4 linked regions of the Arabidopsis thaliana genome follow. The protein of the gene in region 4 purifies or fractionates together with the protein of the main gene of each other region. This does not show direct contact. Each region holds a gene or a part of one and is shown on either strand. Other genes may lie near its edges. The genes, in order: EIF2 ALPHA, MCM3, GYRA and AT2G05720.

Region 1 (6,212 bases), on a different chromosome or scaffold from region 4:
ACAGCTTGGTGAGGTTCGAGAAAAACGGAACATACAAGAGGGTTGAGCAGAGAGTGAAGACCGAACGGATCGTGGAGGTGACTTCTGAATCGGGTAAACCGGTGAATCGAGTCGTGCACCAGCGGACATATCCTCTTACAGTGATCACTTCTACTCTTAGAGGGTTAACCAACGACAAGGATACGTATATGCTCGTGACGAATGTTTCACACGCCTTGAATGAGACACATTCAGATGGAGAGGCTTTGATCCAAGTTTATAGCAGACAAGACTCAGAGGGTTGGATGGAGGTTGAAGATCACAATGTCTTGGCTGGTGAAGCGAGCACAAAACAGAGTCTTAGCTATATCGATGAATTCAGCTGTTATTCCCGCACCATCGTTGCGGCTAATGGGGAGATTGCCCAGGACAGTTCATCTGATTCTTGTACTTCGTCTTCATTCTCAGAGCTCAACACTATTGAGCAGCTTATCATAACCAATGTTATGAAACACTTGTCGTGAATAAGAGATGCTTGTACTACTAACCATGTTTGGGGTCAAACAAAAAATACTGTTTTTGCTCAAAGGGAAACAAAATTGTAGGATCTAAAGCAGAAACAGCAGTTACAATGCTTTTGCTTTTGTTCATTCAATTATCCCGCTACCTCCATCGATATCGACTTCTCCCATTCCAGTGTCTTCTTCTTCATCTTCGCTTCCCTCATCACCACTCATTTCTTCATTATCCATTCTAAGCTTAGCCATGTGCTCAGCAAGCAATTTGTCATCACGCTCACTCACCTAAAAATGTTGTAGCACATTAAAGTCACGGAACCGAAGAAAAGGAGTGACTGAAGTAGCAAATTCAGTCAACTAGTCATAGAAAAAGGCTACAAGACTTACCGCACGAGCACCTTCTTTAACGACAAGTTTACCCTTGTGTTCCTCAATTGCAGTAATGCATGCTTCAATTGCTTTATTCAGAGTCACTATTCCTTTTTCCTACTCAGTCAGAACAAGAAAGTGTCAATGTTACTATGTAATCCTCAATGTATCTCAAAACGGTTTCCGCTTATAAATAGGAGCACACCCAACAACCATAAACATACCTTGTAATGGGTGTGAGTTGTGAGTACATAAAGTGGTGGAGCAACGAGCTTGATTTTGACTGGACAATCATCAGTACCTACAGCCTCTGCCTTCTTCATGGCTTCCTGTAAATTCATAATAATAGCCAAACATCTTTAGCTAGAAGTAGAAAACAAACAGAGAAAACAAAAAAAAAAAACAGATAAGAAAAAGGAAAAGACTGACCTTGATGTGGAGAACTCCATCAAACTGAAAACACTTCAATTCAATATCAGCACGAATCTTCATTGGCTGTGGTGTCATTCTCCTCCTAATGTCCTTCAAAAATGCATCTTTCAATTCTTCAGACACAGCCGGGACAACTTTGGTCACCTGTACAGAAGATATGTTATAAGTCTTCATGATCAAATTAAAACAATGATAGAGAAGGCTGCTCAAGGCAAAGAGTGTTGTTACCTCCACACCATCAGGTCCAGTTTCTTTAACTTCTCGGGTAAGAGCATCGAAAACTGAATCAGGATCAGTGACAACAATTTTGAAAGCCTGAAACACACAGTCCAAGGTACACACCATCACAACATAGTTCGTACAAACGACAATGGGCCAACTATTACATAATAAAATCTTTGGAACTATTACCTCAAAAGCATGTCCATGCTTCTTATACAATGGCCAACCGATGTTTACGTATAGCTCCTACAAAAAAGAAGGTTTTTCCTCAGAAATTGGACCTTGTTTCAGTTCAAGAACATTGACCTACATTCAAACAAATTCGAGAAGAGTCAGAGAATCGTATGAATGAATATACCTCCAAATCGACACCAACAGTCTCAGCAACATGACGCATGATAGAGTGAACAAGCTTGCTCTTATTATACCTCTCCTCACAAGCCTCTTTGTCCTCATCACTAACCCTACGTTTACTGAGATCAATGTAACCTCTCTCTCTATCGACACGAAGGACCATAACAGGCTCGGTACGACCGACCTTGATTAAGCTACTGATACTACGAATCCGACGGCGAGAGAGCTCGGAGAACAGGATCATTCCTTCGATGTTGTTGTATTCAAGGAGAGATACGTAAGCTCCCATGTCAGCGATGGTCTTCACCTGAATCATCACCGCCATGTCTACATCAGGGTATCTCGATTCGTACATACGACATTCTAGATTCGGAGCAGGATTCGCCATGGTTATGAGATTCTTGAGAAAAGATTTCGGAAGCTACGAATTACAGAGAAAGTAAGATTGAGTTTCTTAGTAGAGAGCGTCGAGGATTGAGATTTAGGGTTTTCAAAATTGGTACGATTCTGTCGTTAAAAATAGTCGACGTCGTATAATCTTCAATCTCGCCGAGTCGCTCACATTCTCACGGCCCATTCTAGTACGACACCGTTTTTGTAGTTGGCTTGCTAACGATACCGTTTAATCTACAAAATAAAAGTACTGAAATTACTAAAAAGGTTATGAAACTAATTGATTCAAATAAAGAGATTAAAATGTTGAGATTAGCTTAACTTAATGAGCTGTGTATTTTTGGTAATATGTCGTAAATTAATTTACAACTTCAACCTCTTAATAATCGAAATATTCTTAGTTTACCCCATTATTTTAACTTGGGAAAAGTTCATCGAGAAGTATTTCGAATCGTGACCACTCACTCATAGTCATTTCTCTCCTTTCTTCGACCTCACACCAAAGAACATAAAAGAAGGAAATTGTAAGTTAGAACTAAAAGGCGAACACGAAGATTCATGCTTTCAGATGAGTCTAATCTTTATGAACCTTAATTATTACAAATCTTGCTTGTTCTTATCGAATCTACAGTTCTTTTTTTGGTTTTTTTTTTTGTCCATGTCTGTTTTGACTTTGTTGCCAAGGAATTTACTAAAACTAGTAAGTCTAAGCTCGTTCAGTCGTTTGCAATGTTTTAATTGAATCAATGGTTTGTTCTTCTTCCTCTATTGGATGTCATGGAAGTAAAAATCTTCAGGAATCTTCTTTGCCTTGATTCTGAGATTTTTGGAATTTAAAAGTTTAATCCTTTCCTACACTTCTTGTAATGATCAAAGATTACTGTGATTTTGTAAATTTTTCTATCGGTTCATAGTTTGTGATTTTGAGTTAAGTTGTTAAGAAATCATGCAAACTGCCAGAAATTTTTGTCCAGAATTGCAAATTGAAATTGATTTCGGTTTGGTTTACTTTGGTTTTGAAATTAAAAATGATTTTGGTCCGGTTAGCAATTGGTTTTGAGAAAAAAACAAAAAAAGTCACGCGATAGAGAATTTGGAGAGAAATGCGTCGATACAAAAAGGCATGAATTGGAAAGGGGTTTACCCACAGAATCGCTCTCACTCGCTCAACGCGCTCTTTCTGCGAGTGGGTACGAAATAGAGCCTTCTGATTGGTTTAGAAACGCAAAAAAAAAATGAAATAGTAGACATGTTGCTAGCTATGTTATTATTTACTTTTCCTCTCCTTAGGCAAAAACTAGATTCACGCTTTCAGATTTCAACTGGTGAGTGCTAAAATATGTATAAACCTTAATCATTGTTAATCGTCTTTGTTATCATCGAATCTATAGTTCTGGTATGAATTTTTTGGTTGTCCTGCTCTGTTTTTACTTTGTTGCCCAGAACTTTTACTAAAACTAGAAAGCTAAGCTCGTTTGTTATGTTTCATTTGGAGCAGTAAATTGTTCTTCTTCCTCCATTGGATGTGTATTTTTGTTTGTTCTTTATGTTCATTGTGTTGACTTGTCGGTTTTAGTGGAATGAACAAGTTGAGAGTGAAACTGAGACTAGTCGTCGTCCTTTGAATCTTTCAGATAAGGACCAACATATACCACAAGGCAAAGAATCTGTGCATGAAAAGGTTTGTTATTATTATCAACCTTATAATCATTAATTCATTATCGTATGGTTCATATCCTTGAACTGACTAAACAAACCATCAATGGTCTTATTAGATCGCAGGTTCGGAAATGAACCATAATTCAAATCAACCCACAACAACAAAGCTTTGAACTCACACGCTCTACTTCAACCACAAGGTTAGGGGAAGCATCCAACTCCTGCCATGAACCATCTTCACCACAGGTTTGAACCACGAACCGGACTCCCTTCACATCTGATCCAACGACCATTTCAGAGACATAATAAGCATCAACATGAGCTGTTCCAAGAAACACTTTCTCGCTTCTTGGTTCTTCCATAACCTTCCTTGGTCTATACTCACTCGAACTCAGATTCTCTGCATATACATTGTACTTTGGAAAGACAGAATCTTCTTCAGGGTGCTTCAATCTCCATTCTAGCTTACAACTTAAGGTCTTGGAGCCAGAATCACCCGGTACAAACTTTACGTGATGAGCCTCTATAACCCATGATGACGCCAGAGGATAAACCTTGGCTTTTTGCTGGCTCTTGATGGAGATATGTCCAAGCAATGCAAAATACTCTAGTGTGTTTGTTTCTTCTGTGAGATCATCTGGTCTGGAGCAGAAGGCAGATATCTCAGTCAGTGTGTGCCCATCTAAAACAAGGTTTGTTTCGTGTACTGTCCAACCGGATGTGGTCTGTTTTGATGTGAGAAGACATGGCAGGAACATGTCGCCAAATCTGTTGATAGATTCATTTGGCACCATAAGCATGGACTTTTTCTCTTGTGAAGGAGATGAAAAATGGAGCAGAATGCTTAGCTCGGATCTTTTATCTGACTTCACCTGCACCAGTCCAAAGACTTACATGATGAGTAAAACTTAAAGATTGAAACTTTGTAAAGATGAGGAGGAGCTCAAATCTTATGCGTTAACTTACAGAAAAGAAGATTGAGATTGGGGCAGCAGAGAGCTGAAGCTGAGGTTTGAATAGTCTTGCTGTGAAATGTGCATTTCTCTTTAGTTTTCCTCTGAAACTGACGTTCCCTCCTCCATTATAAGATGCTTCTCGACCACTAGCATATATGTGTGCTTAATTGTTAGATGCCAAAACAATTTCTTCTTAAGCTTCTTGAAAATCAAATATGAGGCTAGTATTAGGGATTTAGGGTCAGAACTCACTCAACAGTGACCTGAATGGTCTCTGAATTCCTTCCTTCATTGAATTCTAGGAATGGCTGTCACAAAGAACACAGCAGAAGAAATTATCAAATTGGTATATAGATAAGTCCAGATTAAAAATGTGACAAAAAAGGAAATGAGCTCTAGTGCAATAAAAGCTAGAACAAGGAGTGACCATTGAACCTGTAGACTTTGGCATGAGATGTTGTACCAGGGAGCTTCTGATAATTTCCGACCTCCAAGAGAGGTATGAGAACCAAGGCCCTATATAATAAACAAGTGGAGAGTTTCAAAACTCAGTAGAACATAGAATAGCCATGCTCATTTGCATCTATTCATTGGGAACAAAGTTTGACTTCACCTGATTAAAATCTGAGTAGAAAGGTAGGACTTGAGGATATGTTTGAACTATACCCCATGACTTCTCAACAAGTGACCACCATCTAAAGAAAGATAACATATGATGAATAAGATTGCAAAGATTAATTTTACCATCACATTTGGCCATTTGCAAGTATTACTTGTTTTGTGCCGTGTAAAAATCCGGGGGTTGCTCGGTTTCGTATACCCATCCAGGAGCAAATATCGCAGCTGATACATTACTGCTCTTCAGCAAATCAAGAGCAACATTTGCCTACAATACAAAAGAATTGAACAAACGTATAAAAACTTTATATGCAGCTTGAACATTGCAGACTACTGGTTGAATGAATTTGTTAGAATAAAGATACATACAGTCCATTGCCCACCACCGTAAGTTCCCCGACCAAACACATCTATTCCCATGTAGACATCATATTTTCTATCACCGGCAATTTCAGCTGATGCTTTGGGGTAGTTCTCCTGAAAGAGATACCTACTCAGTACTCATATCACAATCAAAACATATAAGATGAATGAAGATGAAGTGATTGATTGAAGTGAAAGGCCAAACCTTCCATGTATAGTTCATGAATATACCATCGCATATATCAAAGAAAGGTTTATTATTCTCGGTTAACTGATCTTGCCAAGCAAGATGACCATCAATAGTGACACTATCATACCTACAAAAAAAAAGTAATAGAAAAGATCAGTA
Region 2 (8,361 bases), on a different chromosome or scaffold from region 4:
AAATGCCGAGAAAGTTGGTTAAACAGAGCTCTTGCAATGGTAGTCTTACCAATCCCCGAGGAACCCCATATACCAACCATTCTCACTTCCTCAGCTTCCAATTTCAACAATACACTCATATTTGCAATATGATCTTCGATGCCAACAAAATTTTCAAAGTCCTTGGGTGTAGTTAAAAGCAGTTTAGCCAAAACATCATTGGCTATTTCTTCAATCATTTTTGCTTCGTCATCCCTAATAAGGTTAAGGACAATTTTAAAGAATATGACATAATTTTATCTCAAGATGTATCTAATAATGAGTTAGTATAAAAACCATACCATGTCGCAGAATCAAATCCAAGCATATTAGCTACATCAGTCAACGCTTTCTTCCATTGGTTTTTCACTTGCTCTGTTTGTCTCTTGCAAGTCTTTTCAAAGATCTTTCCAAAGTCACCGATTTGATGCCTCACTTGGGAAGGATCCACTCCGTAGAAAACTGGTATGACAATTTTATCATTGCAATTCACAATCTCCAGCAACTCGTTAAGACACCAGCTCGATGAAGCGTAGTTTTTGGAGAAAATGACCACTGCGATTCTGGAATCCTTGATGGCTTGTTCAAGATCGGGCCAGAGAGAGTGGCTTCTCTCGATCTCATTGTCTCTGAATGCAGTGATCAGTTTCCGATCAAGCTCTTTGAGAAAGTGGCTACGGAATGTTACGCGGACGTCTCCCCCTCTGAAGCTCAAGAAAACATCATATAACCAGTTTCGAGAAGAAGATGAAGAAGCCATAGAGAGAATGAGAGGAGGAAACTATGAACAAAGACTTTGGAGATTAAGATTGTAATCGTACGTCTTGGTGATTTAATTATATAAAAATATTAAACACGGCCACAAAAGTCTTCACTAATCAGTTTCACTATTGTTTCAGACACAACTTGACGGATATTTCCAATTTGATGTCTTAATCATCTTTTGTACAAGGTCATAAGCAAATGTTTCATAGCCTCTAATGTCTTATCCCCTTACATTACTACACATACGTCTCACTTTATGATTACTTTAAGAATTTAGAATTCTTAGAGTGGAGACAAGTTTCTCTTGCTCATGGCCTTAACATTTCTGAGAAGCTCTGGTCTGAATCAGAGACATGTATGGCCTAACTACGTAAGTTTATTTAGTAACTCAATTGTTTTGACTAGGGTTGATAGAGAAACGTGTGCAGTAACCTACCAAAATAGATTTTGTTATTTGGCAACAAAAAAAAAAATAGATTTTGTTGTATTACTCTGTATACCAAAACTGATTTCAATCCGTCTTTGTGGAATTTAACCTGATTATATGTACAATTTTAGAAACGTATAGGATCCATCATGGACAAAGCAAACATGTTTTGGAAAAAAAAAAAAAAAGTAATAGAGACCAAATGGAAAAACATGGATCTTTTAGACGAGAGAGTTCCAAGGTAGTGATTATTAGGGTTTTGAAGTTGGCTTATATATGGCACAACTCTATTCTTACCATTGGGTTAAAACAACATATACACTATAATCTTGATGTCGATTACATATGTATAAAATTTGGCATAAACAGCTCAAGAAATTATAGGATAAATATGAAAGTATTTTATTCTCGGATTGTGCTTTTCGTTATAAATTCCAAATTTTATAATCAGATGCGTTTTTTTAAGCATTTTATCATCAGTTTTACTTCACTAGTAAATGCAAAAAACATAACGTATGAATAAAGATTTTACAAAATGATATTTTGGTTTCCAAGAGTTTACTACTACACTATTTTTGAGTTCTAATATGATGATGATGATGCAATCAATATTGATTTCTTCATATGATCAAATGATATGAACTTTGCCATCGCTGATCATCACTTTGTTATCATCTTGCAGTTTCTGCATAAAATCCACAATAGAGTAAAGTTATGAAGATATTGTATAAAAAGTTAAAGAATGAGAAAGCTTGTCTCTTAATTTGTGAATTACCTCTAAGAGAGCCATAATCTCATCTGCAGAGTAACGAGATGCTCCAACCCCATTGTTGTTGACAACAGTCTCTATATCTGCAATAGAGATGTCATCGAGCCTGTGTGTCCTCATGTGCTGCCCAAACACTCGCTCAAAGGTTTCAATCCTTGCTGCAGAGACCGTGCCGCTGAATTGCTCTACAGAAGGTTCATCTACTTCCATTGGATCTGCTGTTTCACTGAATGGACCAGCAAAAGAGAAAGAAAAAAGTATAAGGGTTGAGAAAGCTGTGATATAGGTTTCCATGGAGGAGATCAAATTAGTTTACCTGTCGACATTTGCAGTGTCATTCTCTGCTCCATCTTCATTATTCCTGCGTTGGTTGCCTCTACGTCCACTTGGTGTTCTTTCTTGTTCAGCTTGTTCCCTTTGACGTTCTTCTTGCTCACGATCATCCATCTCAGTTAATTCTTGATGATATATTGCAAAGTTCATAAGCTTCAAGGCAGCCTCTGCATCAGCTTTAGTAACCTTTCAAAATAAAGTTATCACTTTAGAAAGAATCTGAATAGAACATATTCACGACCAGGTGGGGAAACAGAAGATTTGAGTTAGATTGTTACCTCGCTACTCAACTTCATTTTGGCATGTGCCGTAGCAAGACGAATTATTGTCTCTAGAGTTCTGGCTGTTATCGGAAGCGTACCTCCAGTCTGCAGAGATTTCGATGGTTGTGTCAAATACAAGTTCCCAAGACGAAAAAGATACAGTGTCCAATGTTATTTTATGAAATAAATTACCTTAGTATCGGAACCTGCATTTCTGAGATCTGCATATGCTTCTGCAATACGTTCCGATGCCTGCAAATTTAATAACAAAAGAGATTTAGTGGAAGAGATTATCAGATACATAAAAATTTATATATTTGAGTTCACTGTCTCACTTCATCAGTGAGCTTTGGTGTAATACGGTGCTTGGCGTAATGAATGTACTTCTTCAAGAACTTAATCGTAAGGGTTTTATCATGTGTTTGGCCTCTTTTCTTCTTCCCATGTAGTGTTTGGTTATACTTAACAAACATTTCACTCTCAGCATTGTCTTCTCTCGCGTAAGGCAAGCTCCCATCTGGCCCTGCCTCACCTATGGTTCACTCAAAAGTCAGATGCGTTTCAAGACATGGGTTGTGAAATGTTTAGTAAAACATAGAAGCATGATTTGTTTCCTACCTCTATCGTTCTTGTAACGATGCATGCGCAAGACATGTTCTGAAATCATGCTGTCGATACCAGCATCCATTTGATCCAACACAATAAACAGTAGATCAAAACGAGAAAGCAGCGAATCTGGAAGTCCAATGTTCTTTGTTGGAGTCAGTGATCTGTCATACTGCAGGAGCAAGAGTAGGTATTAGGACAAAAAAATACTAGTCAGTAGAGTAAGTAGATTAGGAAAACTTCGGTGAGAACTTACAGTTCCGTATATGGGATTTGCAGCTGCAACCACACTGCATCTAGCATTCAGTGATGCATGGATACCGGCTTTTGCAATTGTTACAGTCTGTTGCTCCATCACTTCGTGTATAGCAACTCGGTCCTGATCATTCATCTTATCAAACTCGTCAATGCACACGATACCTTTATCAGCGAGGACCATTGCACCAGCTTCTAGTCTTCGTTCCCCTGATGAAAATGAGAATTTGATTTTAATGAGAAATAGCACTTTTGACCTTCCTTCAAATTTTGATTTTAGCATTTGATAAAAAAATGTGGAAACGCTTTTGTGTGCTTTTTACCTGTTTCTTGGTCAGAAGTCACAGCAGCAGTTAACCCAACACCGGAAGAACCACGGCCTGTGGTTGATATAGCCAAAGGTGCAATATTCATTATCGCTCTCAGAAGTTGAGATTTGGCAACAGATGGATCACCAACCATCATCATGTTGATGTCTCTGAAAGCACAAGATTTGTTTTCAAGTGAAGAAAGAAAAATGAGTTAGACAAAAAGTATCCAATGAGTCGAATCTGAAATCTGTTTTCAAGCAAGACTTACCCCCTCAAGTGGGTTCCGTTCTTCAGGTTCTTTTCAACACCACCAAGCATCAGTAAAACTACTGCTTTCTTTATCCAAGCGTGCCCATAAATAGAAGGTGCTAAGGAACGAGCAAGGAGATCAAATGCATCATCTCTTCGTGCAATATTTTTAATGTTATCTAGGTCTTGCTTAGTGTATATAGGTGCATTTGCTTCTTTATTGAGCAGAGCGATATTATTGGCTATGAGGATAGTCCTACACAGAAAGAACTCGGTCAAGACTATCAGAGTGAAAACATCTTGAACTAACAGATGTGTAAGAAAACGCACCTAAAGACTCCATTTACACTACCCTTGCTTTTTCCAGGAAGAGCTTTGTAAATACCGAAAACAGATACTCGATCTCCTGGCTTGCATGAGTCAACAAGGTCATCCTCAGCAATGACATCAACGCTTCGTGGAAGCTGACCAGGAGCAGCATTTTCAGGCACTTCTTGAATTGACAAGGTCTGGTGATCTTTGTATTTGCACAGCCCATACTCAGTCACCAATAAGTTTCCCTTATCATCCTGAACAAAAAAAAACTCAATCTTCAGTAAGAGGCAAATCTTCCAGCAGTACAGGTAAATGAACAAAACGAAAACAAAAAACATGTAATTACCCTTGTGGGATAGACAGAGCCAGTGGGTAAACCAGCGTGAGATGTTATGTCTCGATAATCTCGATTGGTAAATTCACCGGTTGATGGACAAAAGTGAACGCTTTTAACAACCTTTGGCCTCACAAGAGAGCCTGAAAGCAAAGCATGTGTCAGAGGTTCAAAATCTTCTACGTAAAACACAAAGGAAACAGAAGAAAAGCAGAGGAATAGAGTGAAAATGATGAGCTTACATTTGGTGACAATGCCCTCAACACAGACCATAGATCCAATAAAATCAGAGAGAAGCTCTCTAGGAGTAACAACGCGAGAAACAAAATAACCTTCAAAACCAACAAGGACAAGCTCTCCTTCCTTCAAGTATTTAGGGTCAATAGCACGAGTAGCTTCAGTGGCTGCGTCACAAAATGACTGCATATACTCATTTGGATTCTTCAGTATCCTATCCAAAAAAACCAAAGCAATCAACTTTAAGGTCACAAAACATATGACAATTGTAGTGAATCCTTAAAAATCCCCAAATTAACCTCACTGAATCTAACAAAACCCTAAAATCTGCCGTAAATTCATAACCTTATACTAAAGAACCGATTAAAAATTCGAGGAAGACAAATTGAGAAGATGACGAACCTAGAGGCAACTTCCCTGAAGTGGTGGTGAATGTCAGAGATATTAATAATGAGACGGTGACGCTTTTGATGTACCAAAGCCTTGATTTCCTCCATATACATCTACACAATCCGTAAAAAAAATCCAATTTTTCAAATTAGATAAGAACAGAAGCTCGAGAAATGTCTGGTGAGAAAAGTGATAGAAATCGACTTACACTATCGAGGAACTGGATAAAATCTCGCTTGTGGCGAAGCCTCGTCTCCTCTGGCACATCCATTTCTTAACAAAATCTGGGTTCTTCGTAAGAACTTTTCTTCTTCTACTTAAAAAAAAAAAACTGATTAGAGATTTTCGATTTCCGATTTCGAGAGGCATAAAGGGCGGATCTTCTCCTTATGGCGGGATTTCGTGAGATAACCTGTACCCTTTTTGGCGGGAAGGGTCATTTTGGGCCGATATTAGTTGGGCCTTTCGTCTACGTGCTTTTTGATTAACCAAATTTGGGCCGGTACAATTTTGGACTTACGTCTACGCGCTTGTTTGGCGCGTTTGATTTCCTCAAGGCGGTATAATACACCCAGATTCTAAACCAAAAACCAGACATACCAAATCAATTCATTGTAAATTCGGTTTAACTTTTGCTACTGCCTTCAAGCCAGTAAACCGAAAAATGTATATATGAAAACCAAAATAAACCTGTGTGATTTGAGAACATTTTCGGATGTATCACAACATATGTATAACTGAAAAAAAATTCAGTATAAATCTAATTTCTTCGAATGTAAAAACACGACAAGAATTGTTGAGAAATAAAAGATGAGAATCCCCTAATTGGATTATTCTGACAATAACACCGTTACTACAAGATTCTCTCAGTTTCTGTTTTTATAAATTACGCAAATATGGAACGAACTAAGATACACAACATTCCGCAGACAAGAGAGAGAACAAACAAAATCTGAAATCTCAGCAACCGTAAGAAACGGGGAATGAAAGAACCGCAAAAGGCCAGAGGAAGAGCTCCAACTTGTGAACCAAGAAGCTGCAAGTGGTGGTGATGGATGATGATAGTAACCGATAGGGCAGAGAATCTAAAAGGTATGAAGAAATCAGGGTTTGAAGGCAGAGAAGGCGACTACCGAGTTGTGTCCACCGAACCCGAACGAGTTTGATATGGCTGCAGCAAAACAGAAAGACATTAATCAGTGAAACTGTTGCCAGTTTAATCCAATGAGAAGGCGGTCATGTTTGTCACTTACCAACATCAACCTCGTGTTGCTTCTTCTCGTTTGGGACCGTGTCAAAGTCCACAGCTTGTTCTGGGTTCTACAATGAGAAAACAAAGAGTGTGAGAGTCTAATACAATGACCAAGTTCAAATCTTGCAACAGTTCAAACTGAAAGCGGAATCAAAGAAGCCTTTTCTTGACTTCCTGTTATACGTACAAATTGGTTGATGGAAGGATGCAGCCATCCAGTGTTGATAGCCTTCACGGTGGCGATGGCTTCTAGACCTCCAGCTGCACCGAGGCAGTGACCTATCATAGACTGTAACAGAAACTGTCATTCACAGGAAATGCAAAGCAAACAAATACATTGAAATAGAGGAGAAGAAGAACACTCAATCATAGAGCATTGGGGACGAACCTTGGTGGCGTTGATTTTGATCCCTGAAGTGCTCTTGAATACCTTTTTAATGGCATTAATCTCAGCAAGATCACCAGCAAGAGTGGAAGTTGCATGTGCATTGATGTAATTTACCTGAAAAACGTGGAATGAATATAAGTAGGGAAGTAACACGAATCTAATGAAGAAATTTGTTTCAGATAGCCTTAAAACTTAGGAAGCATGAAAAGTTTGTGTTTTTTACCTCCTCAGGTGATACACCAGCATCTTCCAGGCATCTTTCAATGCATGAAGAAACCCCAAGACCATCAGCTCTTGGATCAGTCATATGGTGAGCATCACAATTAACAGCACCTCCAAGATATTCTGCTACAATTGGAGCACCACGTTTCATTGCATGTTCCAAGCTTTCCATCACCTATTAGGGCATACAACAATTAGTGGGTCTCTCCAAAACAAAATGTCACATGTATGAGCCAATCTCATGGTGAGATAAACCAACTTTGAAAATGTAGTACAATTCAAGTGCAAGGAAACTTCCAGAGCTAATAGACTAGGGAACACAAGTTTCATCAGATTCTATAAACTAAGACCAAAACAGGCTCTTATATACAATTCAAAACAGAGCAAGCCAAATGTATGTAGATTCATAGTATCAATGAGAGATTAAGAATTTGTGAAACATACCAGAACACCAGCTCCTTCACCCATAACAAACCCATCTCTTGCTTTATCCCACGGCCTGGAAGCAGTTTGAGGGTCATCATTTCTCTGGGACAATGCCCTACAAGCAACAAAACCTCCCAACCCAATAGGAATAATAGCAGCCTCAGTCCCACCAGCAATCATCATATCAGCTTCACCACGACGAATGTGATTCGCAGCAGCGTAAAAGCAGTAATTCGAAGTAGCACAAGCAGTTGAAATCGAATAGTTAGGACCCATAAGACCAAGATCAATCGCCAACAAAGCAGAACCCATATTTGTTATAGCATAAGGTATAAAAAATGGACTAATCCTCCTATGACCCTTCTCAATCAAATTCTGAACACCTTCTGAAAACACAGTTAAACCTCCCATTCCAGTCCCAACTAGTACTCCAGCTTTCCTCTTATCAATCTGCAACAAACCCAATAACCAAAAATCAAAACTTTGACTCCTAAACTCTTCAAAATCAAAACTTTATGATCAATTTCAATTCAAATGTTACCGTGTTAAGCTTATCACCACCAAGATTGGCACTTTCAAGAGCTTTTTTACCAGCAACAATGCAATATTTCAAACAATCATCAAGCCTACGCTCATTCTTGCCATCAATATAACCTTCAGAGCTAAACCCACGGATCTGACCACCGAATCGAGTAGGGAACTTGGAAGCATCGAAACGATCAATCAAACTGATTCCACTCTCACCAGACAACAATTTCTCGTAGTAAGCATCAACATCGTTACCAAACACAGAGACGAGAC
Region 3 (9,961 bases), on a different chromosome or scaffold from region 4:
GAAGAATGTTGCTCAGAGAAACCAAGCAGAGCCTAAGCTAAAAACGAAAGAGGGAGATGAAAGAATCAAACTGGATGTTGATGATGGCGTGAGAAACAAGCAGGATGAGAATAATGAGATGGTTGGAGACATGGTTAGTGAAGGAGAGATTCAAGACAGAGTGGAGCAGAAGAAGATAGACGAAGCTGGTTTAGCCAAAGATAGAGGCGATCTAAAGGATAATGCTGAAGTCGTGGAACCAGAAACCGGTCCATTACTAGTCAAAGAAGGACAGAAGAAGAGCGACATGGATCCTCCTCTTGCAGTAGGAGGAAGAGGAATGGGTGAAGAAGAGAGTCGGACATATGACATACCTTTGGTGAATGTTGGTGTAGCTGCTCTTGTGATTATGGGGTTTGGTGCTTACGTCTTTGTACCACTAGTAAAATATTTCTCCTGATTTGTGGTTAACAACAAAACAAAAGTGAGAAGAGCACTACTGTTTTGGTTATAACCAGAATAATTGGTTTCAACTTTCTTAACATATGTATATAGTTAAACCCAACAAAATGTGAAGCAGATTAATGTTAATAACTAACTTCGATCATGGTTTTCTCTTCTCGTAGTAACATCACAAAAAAACAAAATGAAGAGAGTTAGCACATAGACTCTATGTACTGAACTTGACAATTGTCTCAAAAACTGGTGGAATTGGGATTGTAAAATTTACAGGCTAACGGCTTCTACGGCTTCATTACTTAGAGTTCCTTCTGTTTCTTCTTCATCTGCTGCAGAGATCAGAGATGCAGATTGGATTTTGCCGGCATGATCTAGCCGCATAAGAATCACTCCCCTGAGAAATTAACAATCAAATGAGAAACCATATAAAATATACATTTGAAAAGACTGTCACATGAAGGGAGTACCGTGCTCTGCGAGATTGGATTGAGATATCCCTGACTTTGATCCGGTTCACAGTTCCGCTTTGGCTCACCAGAACTACTTGCTCATCACTCTCCCCATCCTCTGCAAGAAAACCCAATGGTGAGATTATATATAAACAGCAATCAAAGAACATTTAAATCCGTATTTGTGGCAGTGTATACTTACCAGCCAAGGAGTAACCAACAACGAAAACAGCAGCCAAACGATCATCCTCAGCAAACTGACAAATTGAGATTTAGATGTAAGGGAAAAATCAACACAAACACAACCAAAAATGGTGAAAATCCAGATCCTACCTTGTATCCAGATAAACCAACTCTGTTCAGACGCGAACGCCGGAAGCTACTCAGAGGAACACGCTTTCCATAGCCATTCTCACACACGAATAATAGCCATGGACCCGTGGATTGTTTCCTGCTTTTGTGATTGTGTTAACAAAAGAAGACAGTAAGACATAAGTAAGTTTCTAGAGCAAACATCAGCAGATATAAGTTAAGAAAAACATACACAAGTGAAGCATCTTCCGACTTCTCTTCCATATCTTTCCGCAGAGATGCAGGTATGATGTCCATGCTCGCTATCTTATCCTCATTCTTGAGTCTCATGGCAGTCACTCCCTTTGTATTTCTGCTCAGTGTGCGAACCTAAACAAACAAAAGCCATCAGAGTTTGCTCAAGTATTAAAAGGTTTACATGAAAGATGAATCATTTAGAAAAAATGAGAGCCACAACTTACACCATCACATGTACTCAAGGCGACCATTCCATTTTGGGATGCCATGGCTACAAGATCGTCGCTTGAGCAACAACGAACCCATTTCAGTTCATCACCAGAATTCTGAAGACAAATAATTTTGTTAGAGTAACCTTGTTAAGAAGACTTCCTATATGACTAAGAAGAAAAAGGGGACAAACCAACTGAATTGCTATGATTCCAGTTGAGCGTATTCCTGAAAATAATTTCAAAGATACTTTCTTGATGCAGCCATTCACTGTAAGCATCAGGAGGTAGCGATCTTCAGCAAACTCGCTAACAGGAACAATGGAGGTTACTCTTTCACCTTCCGACATGGATAATATCTGCTTCCACAAGTCACATGAACACAGCAAAACATTAGCCTTTCATAAAATTGAATAATTTTTGACATAGCAGAAGGAAAACATAGATACACAGATATGTAATTACCTGAACCAAAGGTGTACCAGCTGCATTGCGAGAGCATTCTGGAATTTTATATGCACGGGTTGAGTAAACTATACCCCGGTCACTGAATGTACAACAAGTATAAGCAATGAATTACAACAAGGCAGAAAATTAATATCCATGTGCGTAGCAAACACAAAGGAAATTTTGAGGTATACATACCTGAAAAAGAGGACATGGTCATGTGCATGACAAACAAGAAAGTCAGACATTGCATCATCAACTCTTAGTTTCCCAACAGATTTGCCAATTGTTCCACGATGCTGAAGATTGAATGTATCGGCCTTCATTCTCTTCACATAGCCCTTTTCGCTGACTGCCTATAGTCATCCATATCAAAAGTTACAAAACAAACAACAAAAATTTCAACGTTGAGAAACTTTCTAGGTTTAAGTATGCAACATACCATCAGCATCTCTTCATTTGGAATAACATCTATATCTTCTAGATCACCACTGTCAGAATCCTCCAACATTGAACGCCTGGGACTTGAGAATCTGTCCTTCAGCTCTATTGCTTCTTGTTCGATTAACTAAAGAAAAATACAAGAAAAACAACGAAGAGAATAAAGTAGTAAGTAATATACAATGAAGTAAACGAAGCAAATAGTTCAATTTTGGTCTACAAGAAAATCATCATGTATCAGTTATCTTCCTAACATTGGCCCAGAACAGCAACATATAGTAAGCAGCTTTACAGATATAAAAATAAGTACCAAACAAGAAATGGAAGAAGCATTTGAATCCTTATACCACATCATAATGCATGGACTAGATTTTGAACCTCAGTGGACTCAAACAGTCAAGCTTACAAATTTGGAGTACATATATTGATGCATCTATCATTCTACTAGCATCTAGGTGTTCTAAATTTCTAATATCAATAGCCAAAAGAACAGATAACTAAAAAGTGAGTGTGTCACCTTTAGGATGTTTGTTCGGGTTGATAATAGCTGCTCCAACTTTGTAATTTGCTCTGTTAGTGAACTACTTTCATCAGTAAACTTTTTCCGCTGCATTTATGAAGGGAGAATCTAGTTAGAACATTGTCAAGCCTACAAGTTTCATAAATTGAACTTAGCGAGAATAAGAAAGCACCTCAAGAGCAGTTAGCCTTCGAAGAGTTATCTCCAGTATAGCCTCAGCTTGTTTCTCAGAAAGACCATATTCTACATAAGTAAATGTTTGACAAGTGTTAATTTTAATATATGGTATCGTCCCTTACAATAGAGACTTACAAAGCATAAATCCCTAAGAAATCTTTGCAATTAAGATCAAATCTTACAACGAATGAGACTCCAGCAGTTCCAGATAAAAAGACAAGAAATATATAATGTTCAAATGTAATATGGAAGAGTTCACCACAAGATGTATTCTTTTAATAGTGTACATCCTAGACTACATCTATCAGTCCACCTAAGAAAAATTGGCTCTAGTCTACTTTTTGACTCCTAATTCTCGCTCACTTTTCCGAATTCTGTTTATACATCAACCTATAATGTGCAGTTCAAGATTGTTACATTGATTATATTGTCAAAGTAAAATATAGCTCACCACTTTGTAAAGCAGCAGTAGCAGAGGAATGACTTGAGGCCTTCGTGATGAGTTCGATTACTTCGTCCACATTGTCAAGCCCAACCACAATACCCTAAGCATATATACAGTGAAGATATTAGAAAAAATGCTTTACATCATTACATCATGGTCTTCACGAGCAGATTTAAGAAAGTTAAATATTTCTAGTCGCACCTCAATAATATGCTTTCGTTGTTGTGCATGTGAAAGCTTGAATCTTGCACGCCTTTCGACGACAGAACACCTGAAATCTATAAATGCCTACACACAAGCAAGAAACAGAAAGTAATCAACAAATTTACTTTAAAATGTGATTACAGTAGCACAGAAGTAAATATCCTATCTCTGATCTTCACTTTTCTATTACTCCTTGTGGGCTACGTAGATAAATGATTTACATAGACAAGTGGTCACCTGAAGTAGTTCTTTTAATCCCATTAGCTTGGGTTCTCCATCGCAGATACTGTAAAACACAGAATACCATAATCCAGTTACGATAAAGAAAAACGCATATGTGAATACATGATCCTTAATATATTTACAAGCATAACATACTCATTAGAGAATTTTCAACTAGTCATCCTGGAAAATGCCCAAGTTCTTTTATATGCCCACTCTTCAAAAAAGTACAGGAAATAAGAAGTTATCGGTTGATGCAACTCACCCCACCATGTTGCAGCTGAAGCTTGATTGAAGGGCAGTATGCCGGTAAAGATTATTAAGCACAAGTGCAGGATCCCCTCCTCTTTTGAGCTATAGAGAAGTATTGGAAATTATCTTAATTACCTTCCAATATGAAATTTTAAAGCAGACTAATACATCTAAGTGCAGAGGAAACAGTGTAATACCTCAATAACCACACGCATCCCATTACGATCACTCTCGTCACGTATGTCACTTATGCCCTCTAGCGTCTGAAAACAAACACCAACATCAATGAATAAAGAAGAAACTTTGCAAGCATATAAGGACATACTAGAAATGTAACACACCTCTGAGTAAAATAAGTACATATTGCTAAGTGAAGCAAAATAAACATTAGATGTCGCAAGTTTAGTTGTACCTTATTTTCAACAAGTTCGGCAATCTTCTGGACAAGTGTAGCTTTGTTTGTCTGGTAAGGAATCTGCAATAAAGTCACACTAAAGGCATTACTCTACTGCTAATAAACATTTTTGAAACCCTCATCCATGGAGATCTGAACATTAATCTAAAAAACTAAATTGATCACCTCTGTGATAATAACTGCATTCCGCTTTGTCTTTGGATCCAACAATTCAACTTCAGCTTTTCCTCTAACTACAACTCGCCCTCGGCCAGTTCGGTAAGCATCCAAAACCCTTGAAAGCGCAAACACACATTAGAAAATTATAAGAATCCAACATTGTAAAAGGAAATGGCATATGAATGCAAACTATTTTTTTAATAAAGGTATTCAACAAACTCGAGAGTAAATGTACTACACAACATATAAGCTTTCAGAATATTAAAAAATCACTCACACCATCAGAAAAAAACATGATGATTCAAAAACTGCATATGACAGACAAATAAAGGAAAACTATTAACTGGACCATCCTCTTCACTCATTTTCTAGGTTCCTTTTAAGATATAGGTACAGCTTCTGTAATCTGTTAGAATCATAGATCAAAACAAAACAAAATGCTTTTCTATTTCCATAAAAAAAAAGTTTCACACTTTAGAAGTGAGTCTTTCTATTTGATCCTATAGATAGCCTACTCTCAAAAAATTAGCAAACGAGGTGGGCAAACAAAAGTCATTAATGTATAAGATCCCTTTGGGGAGAAATTGGAAAGCAAAGAGTTACCCAAGGTTTCCCATTATTATTCCTCCAGTTGGAAAATCCGGTGCAGGCATGTATTCCAGCAGTTCTTGCAGCTGCCCAGACGAAGAAGAAAGTGGAAACAAAATCTTATGAGTTGTCTACTTATAAAACAGAGGATTTTTCATGTAAAACAAAAGACCCACAAATTGATAAATCACAGAAAAACAAAGGGGAGATGAGTGATACCGTTGCTTCTGGATTATGGATTAAAGCGCAAAGCACGTCTACCAACTCCCCAAGATTATGAGGGGGAATATTTGTTGCCATGCCAACCTAAACAATGTGAAATGATCAAGATTCAACTGCATATTCAATCTCATACAGCAGGGAAAATCTGCACAAGATTAACTGAAGAAATCTCGAACAAAATCTATTAAGGAGTTCAGATTTAAGATTTGTTTGATTATTTTACCGCAATCCCAGAAGCTCCATTCAACAACAAAGCAGGAAGACGAGCAGGCAACACTGCTGGTTCTTTTTGTGAGTTATCAAAATTGGCCACAAAATCCACCTGCCAAAACAAAAGAGGTTAAGGACCATCTAGTTGAGTATCGGTAAACTTGGCAACAAATTAATAGTGAGGTTACCGTATCTTGATCCAGATCAGACAATAGTACTGCCTCTGCCAGTGGCTGCAGAAAAAAAATAAGTACAATCAGCTGAAAACACTGACAAAAATACATGTTCATCTCAAGACAAGAGAAAAAGTAGAGATGAGAGATACACTATAGATAGCAAAGACAAGTGAAACAACTAGAAAAAGTGAATTGCAGGGAAAACCATTTCAACTAGAAGGGAAAGTAAGGTAAAAGGCACTCACATCGAGTCTGCATTCAGTGTAACGCATAGCAGCAGGAGGATCTGCATCTATTGAGCCAAAATTTCCATGGCCTTGGATAAGTGGACATCTCAAGGAGAAACTCTGCCAAAAAAACAAAGGTATTAAAACAAAAAAGTCAGAAGTTTGGGAAGAATCGAATCGTGCCTGAAACATTATTTGAGGACTGGACTACATTCCATGAATTCAGATATTTACCTGAGCCATCCTAACAAGAGAATCATAAACAGCAGTATCTCCATGCGGATGGAATTTACCAAGAACCTGAAAACCCAAAGAATTCAACAGCACAAATCGTTCTTCAGAATAAGATATTTAGAGAAATCGACTGAGAAAACACTTTCCAAAAATCAATAATATACCTCTCCAACAACTCTTGCACATTTCTTGTATGGTTTTTTAGATGACATCCCCAACTCATGCATTGCAAAGCTGGAAGACAAAATAATCGAACATTAGAAGGAACAATACCACTGACTAAGCTTAAAAATATCAGTAGCTTTGAGCCGAACGAAAGTCACTCAACAGAATTCTCCGATGTACTGGTTTTAGTCCGTCTCTAACATCAGGCAAAGCACGTCCAAGCAAAACAGAGAGCGCATACGACATATACGACTCAGTAGCTTCCTTATGTAGCTCAAAAGGCACAATACGAGATTCGTCCCCAGAAACAACCAAACCGCCATTGTTAGCTCCGGACTCTTCCTTGACCTGCTCATCTCCGCGCTTACCAGCACCGACAACGAATTTGCCGGACCGAGGAGTACGGGAGGAGAAGAAACGCGTGGCGGAGGGTTCAGTGCGGCGGAGACGGCATAATGGGTCGGTGAGGGGGAATCGGAAGAAGGAGCGGCGAAGAAGGGAGGAAGAGAGACGGAGAGTGGAGGAGAGAGACATGAGAGAGTTAGGGTTAGGGATTGAAGCAGTGGAATGGCATAATACTGGAGTCATGCCCAGAGGGTTTTAGGGATTTTTACAAGTACAAATGGATTAAAGTGCTAAAACCCTAGAGAGCCACACCGGAGAATTTCTCAGGCGCGAATTTCAATACTTTGGCGGGGGTCTTTGTGTCCAAACAAAAAACTAATCTGTATCTCTATTTGAGATATACACTATTTTATACAAACAAGATTATAATAACTAACTTTCGATTTCAATTTCTAATTTCATACTTGTATAGTGTCTTTGTTAGATCAATTACAGAACTAAATTCACCAATTGTTGAAAATTTAACAAATTTATGGAGAAATGTTAGTCACATTTTTGAAGTTTGCGATTCTTCTATCGACTCGAAAACGGTAGAGAATGATTTACATTATGTATTTGTAGCAAAAAAAATGTATCAAGCAATGATGAAACTCCGACCAAAGAGACCAGAGAATTTCTCAGACAGGATCAAAAAGAGATAAACAAGCAAAGAATCAATAAGCGTGAGAGATATAAGGGACAAAAAAATCGAGTTTAAGTGGGGAAGAAACCAAAAACTCCAGGATTGATCAGAGAAGAACACGAGCAGCGTCACCTGCTTCACAGATGAGAACAGGTTTTCCTCCATTTAGATTGTTAGCAAACTCGGGTTGGGCCTTTTCATATTCATCCTTCACATATGAAGCAGCTGCCTCAGCTTTTTCTGCATCTACAAAGGCTAGACAACATCCCCTGAAACCTGCACCGCTGAATCTAGCTCCATATACACCAGGAGCCTTCAGAAGAATCTTGTATAGCTGGATCAGTGGCTCCGCACCTTCACAAAACTCACAGAATTTAAAACCAAAATAATGAATCTAAGAGAGAATAATGTCTGTAAGCATACTAGTGGTCTGTATTCACTATAGGATATGTTGCATTTGGGAGAGAAGAAAAGAGAGTGTAATGTACCGCATTCGTAATTCTCAATGGAACTCAAGCCGGATGCTGAAATTAGCTTTCCAAATTCTTCAAGATTCCCTGAAGCCCAGGCTTCCCGTCCTGAAATTTAAGAACAAACATTCATAAAAGTCCGTTAAGCATCATAAAGAGCTTAATGAATCATTCATGCACATAAAGAGACATCTACAAGAATTCAAGAACATTTGCCTTTGATAACTCGCATGTTCTCCGAGAAATAATGCTCTGCTCTTTTAGCTAAAACCGGTTTCAGCTCATGCTGCACGAACAAGTATTATTGTATTACATATTTACATAGGCCTGATATAGGTGGAACCTGTTTTACCAAAAGCTTAAGAATCTTATTTTCTTACCTTGTGAGCTTCATAGACCGCATGCTCAACTATTCAGTGGGACAGTTAGAGACATGGCAACAAAGAAAAACTAATCAGCATGCAACGAATAAGTTAAAGTCCACACTTAAAGTTTTTTTACCATTGCACAACGTAGGTTCCAGCTCACTGTTCCCAGATGCACTGAAAAGAAAAAGTAAATCAAGAGAAGGGTGTGAATCTTGTGATGCAGAAAAATGAGTATCACAAGCAATAGAGAAATAAACTTTGCAGCATTTCCACTGAAATTTAAATCTAAATAAGCGAAAATGTAGATAAATATGAATCAAACAGATTTGCACATACGTCAAAAGAACTTTTGCTGCCTCTTGACACTCAGAAACTCGCAGATTATATCCTGGGTTGGTGGTCAACGCCTGCCTCAAGCCTGAGAATGCTAACAATATCCTGAACGGTTTCTCCAGTTCAGGAGCCTGTACAAGCTCGTGGTCCAAAGTCTGCATATTTCAAACAGTTTTTCTGAGATGGCAGTTTCTGGAAGAAAATAAAGTTTCCCTATCTATGGCTGGTTAGGAAGGATTTCTTCAAGGCCTCCTGATTCTAACCATTCATTTTCATTTTAGGAAGAAGTGAACTCAGCATTGAAATACATTAAAATCGAAGCAATTGAAAAGATTAAACACTTATTTTCTCGTGAAAGCAATGAGAATGTTGTAGATCTGATTTGATCGTGAGTCATTTTCAGTTTAGAGATCAAAAACATCTTAGGCATCCCATTGAACAGTCTTGGTTTTGCCACATGAACAAGCTTCTTGCTTTTTTGCACACTATATCACTTACAAATCAAGGAATTTTACCTTGCAGTCCATGTATGTTAGACACCCATAATTCGAAAGCAAAATAGCTGATTGATCCAAAATTCCATTCCGCAGACCCAGATACCCATTCTCAATAAGCCTGCAGACGCAGTAAGTCACATATAAATTGACCAATTTGCAGCACTAATTGCTGGTTTCACAGAGAAACAACTGCTCATGAAGCAATACAGAAGAGCTTCTTGGTTACATTAGAAGGGAATATACCTGTCATATTCGATATTTTCTGTTGGGGATACAGTCAATTCGTTTGCATTCTCTAGAGCTAGCAGGTATGCCACACCAACCTGTCACATTTCTGGCGATCATAAAATAATATACAAGATTCATTTTCCAAAAATGACAAGTAAACACCACTCTCATATGCTAAAAATGTTTAGTTACTATTAAAGAGCAGTAAAAATTGTCTTTCCGGAGAAATTTCTGCTGTACAAAAACAGGCGGGATTCAGTTACTTACAGCAGCTGATGAGCTAAGCCCG
Region 4 (5,356 bases):
TTGTATGTGACCGACCTAAGATAGTTCCAGCAAACACAGCGTTTATGAATTCGCTATATAAACAATATTATAGTGTTTTCCGTGTGCTAAGAGTGCCCATATTTCTTGTAGTGAAACAGATGAGAGAAGGTGAATGCAAAGCTTGAAAAAACAAAAATGCAAATTTATTTCAAGAGTTCTGATCTGATTTGATTCATTAATAACCATATCATCCATGACATTGTGAACAATTGTTTGTTTCAACATGTTCATATCGTCCATGTACTAGTCTACTAGATTCGAACAAATGGATGACTTAAAGAACCACCAGCTTAAAAACACACAAATAAAAGTAAGTTTGGATAACTGTATATGCTTTGTGAAAACCATATATATCGTCGGCCAATTGAAAATCATCAAGACTTGTTGCAGGCTTGGGAAACCATCACAACCAGCAACACCATAATAGATTTAAGGTTCTCTAAACACTTTCAGTTCATCTACTTAGTTTCGGCCATAAATACTTGTCCATTAACACTTGTCCATAAACACTTATCCACTTAGATGGTCAAAGGATATTGCTTAGATCAAGTTCACTAAACATACTTAATAACACTGAATAGTCAACATACTTGCCATCATCCATATATACAATCTTTGATGGACATCTTACTTGTCATGTTCTTCTCTTTTATTTGAATCAGATCAGATCAGAACGCTTGAATTAATACATCTGCATTTTTGTTTTTTCAAGCTTTGCATTCACTTTCTTTCACATGTTTGGATGATCAGTAGTTATAAATATCGGTATAGTATATTTGTGCAAGTACCTTTTAAAATCCATTTAATAGTAAACAAATGTTCGATCGGAAATGGATAAACTGTCATATAATTATTTACTTAAAATATAGTAACAATGGATCTTAAAATGTAGGAAAAATGAATTCTTGATTTATTATATAAGAAAACAGACAAAACACTTTATATTAAGTAACTAAAATAATAATAAGAGAGAGAATGAGAGAGAGAAAAAAAAAAAGAGGACCGTTATTTTTGAAAGATAAAAGTGTATGGTATGTAGTTGGGGGCGTTTCGGTAATAACACAGGAAAAAAATTGTTTTGGAAGATGAAAGTGTGGGAGTGTAAAATGAAAGATGAAAAAGTATGTGAGAGTGTAAAATGTAAATAACTCAAAAACAAACTAGAGTTCTATGTCCATTGTTTCTCTCCCATTATCTTCATCATTCCCACAGCATGTCCAAAGCTTTATGGTGCGGTCATGCGAAACACTTGCGAGACGAGCTATCTACAGCGATATCAAGAGATGCGACTTTTGACTCATGTCCTACTAAGCTTTTAACAAGCGAGAAATCTCTACCTGACCATATATTAACGTTCATGTCGTGTGAGGCAGTAGCCAGGAAATAGCGTTCTTGTGGTTCGTACTTTACTTGAGAAACGAGGTTCACATGAGCTGGTATAATATACAACAACTTTCTCATCCGTAGATCCCAAATACGGCATTGATTATCTTCACCACCAGATGCCAAATGATAACCATTAGGAGAGAAATCCACCGAGAGAACCTGTTTGATATGTCCTTGGAAGATAAGAATATTCCTAGCCGTACGAAGATCCCAAACTCTTGCAAGCGAATCAAAACCCGAAGAAGCTACTAATGATCCATCTTGTTGAAATGCAATTCCGTAGACACTACGACTATGACCTTCTTGTGTTAAAGCATCTCAACTCCTATGTTTATATCCCACAATCTCCATGTTTTATCAAAACTCGTTGTCCGGAGGCATCTCAACACTACGACTATGACGGGTGGAATGCAATGCGTGCAAGACGATCTGAATGACCTTTAAAAGTTTGTAGAAGTGTTCCATCCGTTTTCCATATCTTTTCAGTTCGATCAGTAGAAGCAGTTGCTAGACATTCATCATCCACAGACGAGAACACTACATCAGTTACATGTTCTTTATGACCTTTCAAGACAACAATCTTGTTTGTAACTTGAGGCACCTCCCACAATTTAGGAACCCCACTAAGAGAACATGTGACGAGTATTTTTCCATCTCGTGATAAGGAGCAACCAGTAAGAGGACGATCATCCCCAAATTTACTAGAACCAAGAACCATGTCTTTACAATGCTTTAAAGCCAATTTAGTCTCAGCATTTTTATCTTCATCTGGATCATTCCTTCGCCGATTTTCACGCTGAATCCTTAGAGCAGCTCTCTTTATAAAATCTTTGGTAATTTCTATTCTAGCCTCTCTAAGCTCTGTTGGACCCATTGGTATAAACAAACTTTTGAAACAAGATCTAGAAGAAGCTCGTGACAAGACTAGTTCACTTAGAAGACAAGAAGGTTTGGCTTACCAAAGCTCTTATTTATAGCAAAGTAAACGAGATGGATCAGAAAGAAAGAAAGGAAATCTATTAAAAAAGTGGGTTATTGGGGTTAGCTTTGAATTGTGATTTGTCTCTTAAGTCTAAATTCGATAGGAAGCAGTATTTTTATCCAGATCTTCTTCAAGGTTATCAGATTTGGATATTCCTCTTGAGTTTGGTGGTGGACATAGGAGATTTTGGTATTACTAGGGTTCATATGGAAGAAGATGCTGGCAAGTTACTTCATTCAGACACAGGAGATTACTCTCAGGTTCATATGGAATTTATGACAAGTTTCAGTTTGGTTTTATCAGATTCTTGTATTGGTTTTAGGCTTCAGCTGCAAGATGTTTGTGTTTCTTATGTATTAGTTGGTTACTCTAATGGTGCAAGTAGATTTGAATAGAGCAGGTGTTCTTGAACATGATCTGAGAATTGGTATAGATGCTGCTGAATACGCTTGTGAAATGCAACAGATTGCGAGGTCTTTGGGAGTCAGTAATGGGAATATGCAAGAAGGCTCTCTTATTCCTTTTCAAAAACAATAATATTCAACTCTTGCAAGTTGCGAAACATGGGAGCCTAAGCGTGTAAGAATAACCCACTGAAACTCATATATTGCATGAGATCACTCACCTTTTAACCTAATCCTAGACAGACTTATCTGCCTTTTAAAAAAGACATTTTAAAACAGAAACAAACACTCTTTTATTTTGCTCCATAACTTGTGTATTGCTTCCTTCACTATTGCTTGCTCAAGTTTCTGATAACATATGGAAGTATGCCTCCATGGTTAAAGTATGCCAATTCCACCTGCACATTTATTTTACCATTATTAGTTCCTTCACATTGAAAAGCTTTTTTTCACTAAAGATTGGAGTATTTAGTTACCTCTGTGTCGAAGCGGACTGTGCAAGTGAAAGATTTTCCGTTGTCGGTAGTGACGGTAACATCTTGGCCAGGTCTTATCTCTGAGATATCGGTTGGGAGATGGATCGTGTAGCGTTCGTGACCAGTCAATCCAAGAGTATCTGCGTCTTCACCGGACTTAAAGCACAATGGGATGATTCCCATTCCCACCAAGTTGCTTCGGTGAATCCTCTCAAAACTCTTTGCAATCACCGCTTTAACACCCTGACAATCCCAAACTTGTTGTTTCAGAATAAAACAGTAAGATTGGTTTATGCGGAAAGAAACTAGAGAAGCGGTTCTAAACCTGTAGCATGGGTCCCTTGGCAGCCCAATCACGTGAGCTACCACTTCCATACTCAGCTCCAGCCAGAATAATTGTGTCTTCACCAGATGACTTGTACCTCTGATACATTTGACATTATGATAAGGAGACATTCGACATGATCAACATACAGTCAGTAATACAAATTTTAATTAGATAAATACAAACCATGGCAGCGTCAAAGACTGAGAGCTTCTCTCCAGATGGAATGTGAACAGTCTTAGGGCCAACTTCACCATTCATGAGCTTGTTAACGATACGGATATTAGCAAAAGTACCTCTGGCCATTATTTCATCATTCCCACGGCGACTTCCATATGAGTTGAAGTCCTTACGGTCAACGCCACGCTCCATGAGAAACTTTGCAGCAGGACTGTCCTTTTGGATGTTTCCAGCTGGTGAGATGTGATCAGTGGTGATACTGTCCCCAAAATTGAGTAAACAGTAAGCATCCTTCACATTGTGTGGACCAGGAGGATCCATGGTCATGTCCTTGAAGTATGGAGGCTCGTGAATGTAAGTTGAGTTGGGATCCCATGAGTAGAGGGTATTCTCAGGAACAGACAGCTTATTCCACATGGGGTTACCCTTGGTGATTGACTCGTACGTTGCTCGGAACATGTCAGGCAAAACACTGGATTGAACAACCTGATCCATATGTCAAAAGATTAGTTTAATATTTGTGTATAAAAAAGATGTTATTGTTCTCTGGTTAAGTCGTATATACCTCAGCAATTTCTTCCGTGGTTGGCCAGATATCTCTTAAGAAGACGTCCTTGCCATTCTTTCCTTTGCCAATAGGCTCCGTTTCAAAGTCAATGTTAACCTGGAAAATAAGAAAGAAGAACGCCAAAATTACCAATGTGATAATCAGTCATGTGTCATTATCTCATACAAAATGTAAGTTGAACTTTGACAAGTTCTCAAGATTTATTACCGTGCCAGCAAGAGCATAGGCAACCACCAACGGAGGAGATGCAAGGTAATTGGCTCTTGTTAGTGGATGAACACGCCCCTCAAAGTTCCTGTTACCGGATAGCACAGCAGCCGCCACAATGTCTAAAACCAAGCAACACAAATATTGAAAACAAATCAGCTACTTACTTATATATAATAGTAATATAAAGGATGGAAAGTCCAAAGTAAGTTTAGTTGGGAATCTCAATAATACCATTTTCGGTAATAGCAGCTCCCACTGATTCATTAATTTCCCCAGAATTCCCGATGCATGTAGTGCACCCGTAGCCGACAATATTGAAACCCTGTTCATTCAGATATTCTTGCAATCCACTGCATGGAGTAAGATGTTACACTTAAATTTACCATCACATAAGAAAGAATTAGCCTTTAACAACGAAGAACTAGATAAAAATACGACATACCTCTTTAATAAGTATTTTGTAACAACTCCTGAGCCTGGAGCAAGACTTGTCTTTATCCAAGGCTTAACCTACAGAGGCAAGTTTTTGAAAAAGGGATCAGAAAATGTCGAGGCATCAGATAGATTTCTAGTTTGCTCTCGTGAAACCAACCTGTAGCCCAAGGTCACAAGCCTTCTTTGCAACAAGACCAGCACCAAGCATGACGCTGGGATTTGATGTATTAGTACAGCTTGTGATTGCAGCAATCACCACACTTCCATGTTTAAGCTCTGCTGGTTGTCCATCGAACGAAAAATTTACCACTTTTTCTTGTGCCTCTTTAGGTATAGCAAAACCCTGCGGAGAATGAATAGCAATATTCA

The links.
Region 1: the proteins of AT2G05720 (region 4) and EIF2 ALPHA fractionate together in Arabidopsis thaliana (co-fractionation; one large-scale study listed by BioGRID). This does not show direct contact.
Region 2: the proteins of AT2G05720 (region 4) and MCM3 fractionate together in Arabidopsis thaliana (co-fractionation; one large-scale study listed by BioGRID). This does not show direct contact.
Region 3: the proteins of AT2G05720 (region 4) and GYRA fractionate together in Arabidopsis thaliana (co-fractionation; one large-scale study listed by BioGRID). This does not show direct contact.

What each region holds. Positions count from the first base shown.
Region 1 is NC_003076.8:1,616,629-1,622,840, reverse strand, and holds EIF2 ALPHA (eukaryotic translation initiation factor 2 alpha subunit), read right to left. Parts: upstream 2,384-6,212; 5' UTR 2,263-2,383; coding exon 1,879-2,262; intron 1,767-1,878; coding exon 1,710-1,766; intron 1,614-1,709; coding exon 1,527-1,613; intron 1,443-1,526; coding exon 1,296-1,442; intron 1,196-1,295; coding exon 1,091-1,195; intron 984-1,090; coding exon 885-983; intron 783-884; coding exon 627-782; 3' UTR 504-626; downstream 1-503. Other genes in the region: AT5G05480 (Peptide-N4-(N-acetyl-beta-glucosaminyl)asparagine amidase A protein), read left to right, coding at 1-503; ENGase85A (Glycosyl hydrolase family 85), read right to left, coding at 4,070-4,798, 4,893-5,028, 5,135-5,190, 5,318-5,398, 5,496-5,577, 5,656-5,768, 5,870-5,977, 6,069-6,180.
Region 2 is NC_003076.8:18,768,064-18,776,424, forward strand, and holds MCM3 (Minichromosome maintenance (MCM2/3/5) family protein), read right to left. Parts: upstream 5,641-8,361; 5' UTR 5,544-5,640; coding exon 5,481-5,543; intron 5,386-5,480; coding exon 5,285-5,385; intron 5,097-5,284; coding exon 4,888-5,096; intron 4,789-4,887; coding exon 4,658-4,788; intron 4,566-4,657; coding exon 4,327-4,565; intron 4,253-4,326; coding exon 4,016-4,252; intron 3,915-4,015; coding exon 3,760-3,914; intron 3,647-3,759; coding exon 3,438-3,646; intron 3,354-3,437; coding exon 3,194-3,353; intron 3,108-3,193; coding exon 2,911-3,107; coding exon of another isoform or gene 2,899-2,910; exon of another isoform or gene 2,828-2,898; coding exon 2,768-2,827; exon of another isoform or gene 2,681-2,767; coding exon 2,591-2,680; coding exon of another isoform or gene 2,579-2,590; exon of another isoform or gene 2,499-2,578; coding exon 2,296-2,498; coding exon of another isoform or gene 2,292-2,295; exon of another isoform or gene 2,206-2,291; coding exon 1,986-2,205; intron 1,896-1,985; coding exon 1,839-1,895; 3' UTR 1,586-1,838; downstream 1-1,585. Other genes in the region: AT5G46270 (Disease resistance protein (TIR-NBS-LRR class) family), read right to left, coding at 1-234, 321-799, 1,016-1,027; KASI (3-ketoacyl-acyl carrier protein synthase I), read right to left, coding at 6,376-6,443, 6,526-6,592, 6,664-6,813, 6,913-7,026, 7,136-7,309, 7,579-8,010, 8,102-8,361.
Region 3 is NC_003074.8:3,338,907-3,348,867, forward strand, and holds GYRA (DNA GYRASE A), read right to left. Parts: upstream 7,455-9,961; 5' UTR 7,338-7,454; coding exon 6,913-7,337; intron 6,819-6,912; coding exon 6,749-6,818; intron 6,651-6,748; coding exon 6,585-6,650; intron 6,471-6,584; coding exon 6,369-6,470; intron 6,181-6,368; coding exon 6,136-6,180; intron 6,060-6,135; coding exon 5,961-6,059; intron 5,822-5,960; coding exon 5,735-5,821; intron 5,602-5,734; coding exon 5,531-5,601; intron 5,043-5,530; coding exon 4,934-5,042; intron 4,829-4,933; coding exon 4,766-4,828; intron 4,617-4,765; coding exon 4,551-4,616; intron 4,456-4,550; coding exon 4,367-4,455; intron 4,166-4,366; coding exon 4,117-4,165; intron 3,964-4,116; coding exon 3,877-3,963; intron 3,776-3,876; coding exon 3,682-3,775; intron 3,297-3,681; coding exon 3,226-3,296; intron 3,141-3,225; coding exon 3,051-3,140; intron 2,661-3,050; coding exon 2,535-2,660; intron 2,449-2,534; coding exon 2,291-2,448; intron 2,193-2,290; and 17 more. Other genes in the region: AT3G10680 (HSP20-like chaperones superfamily protein), read left to right, coding at 1-439; GalAK (galacturonic acid kinase), read right to left, coding at 7,883-8,130, 8,265-8,354, 8,463-8,532, 8,627-8,655, 8,748-8,788, 8,951-9,102, 9,463-9,562, 9,688-9,767 and 1 more. UniProt on the Arabidopsis thaliana protein: A type II topoisomerase that negatively supercoils closed circular double-stranded DNA in an ATP-dependent manner.
Region 4 is NC_003071.7:2,144,117-2,149,472, reverse strand, and holds AT2G05720 (Transducin/WD40 repeat-like superfamily protein), read right to left. Parts: upstream 2,282-5,356; coding exon 1,846-2,281; intron 1,653-1,845; coding exon 1,258-1,652; downstream 1-1,257. Other genes in the region: ACO3 (aconitase 3), read right to left, coding at 3,123-3,191, 3,270-3,512, 3,595-3,693, 3,781-4,260, 4,340-4,438, 4,550-4,671, 4,784-4,902, 4,995-5,062 and 1 more.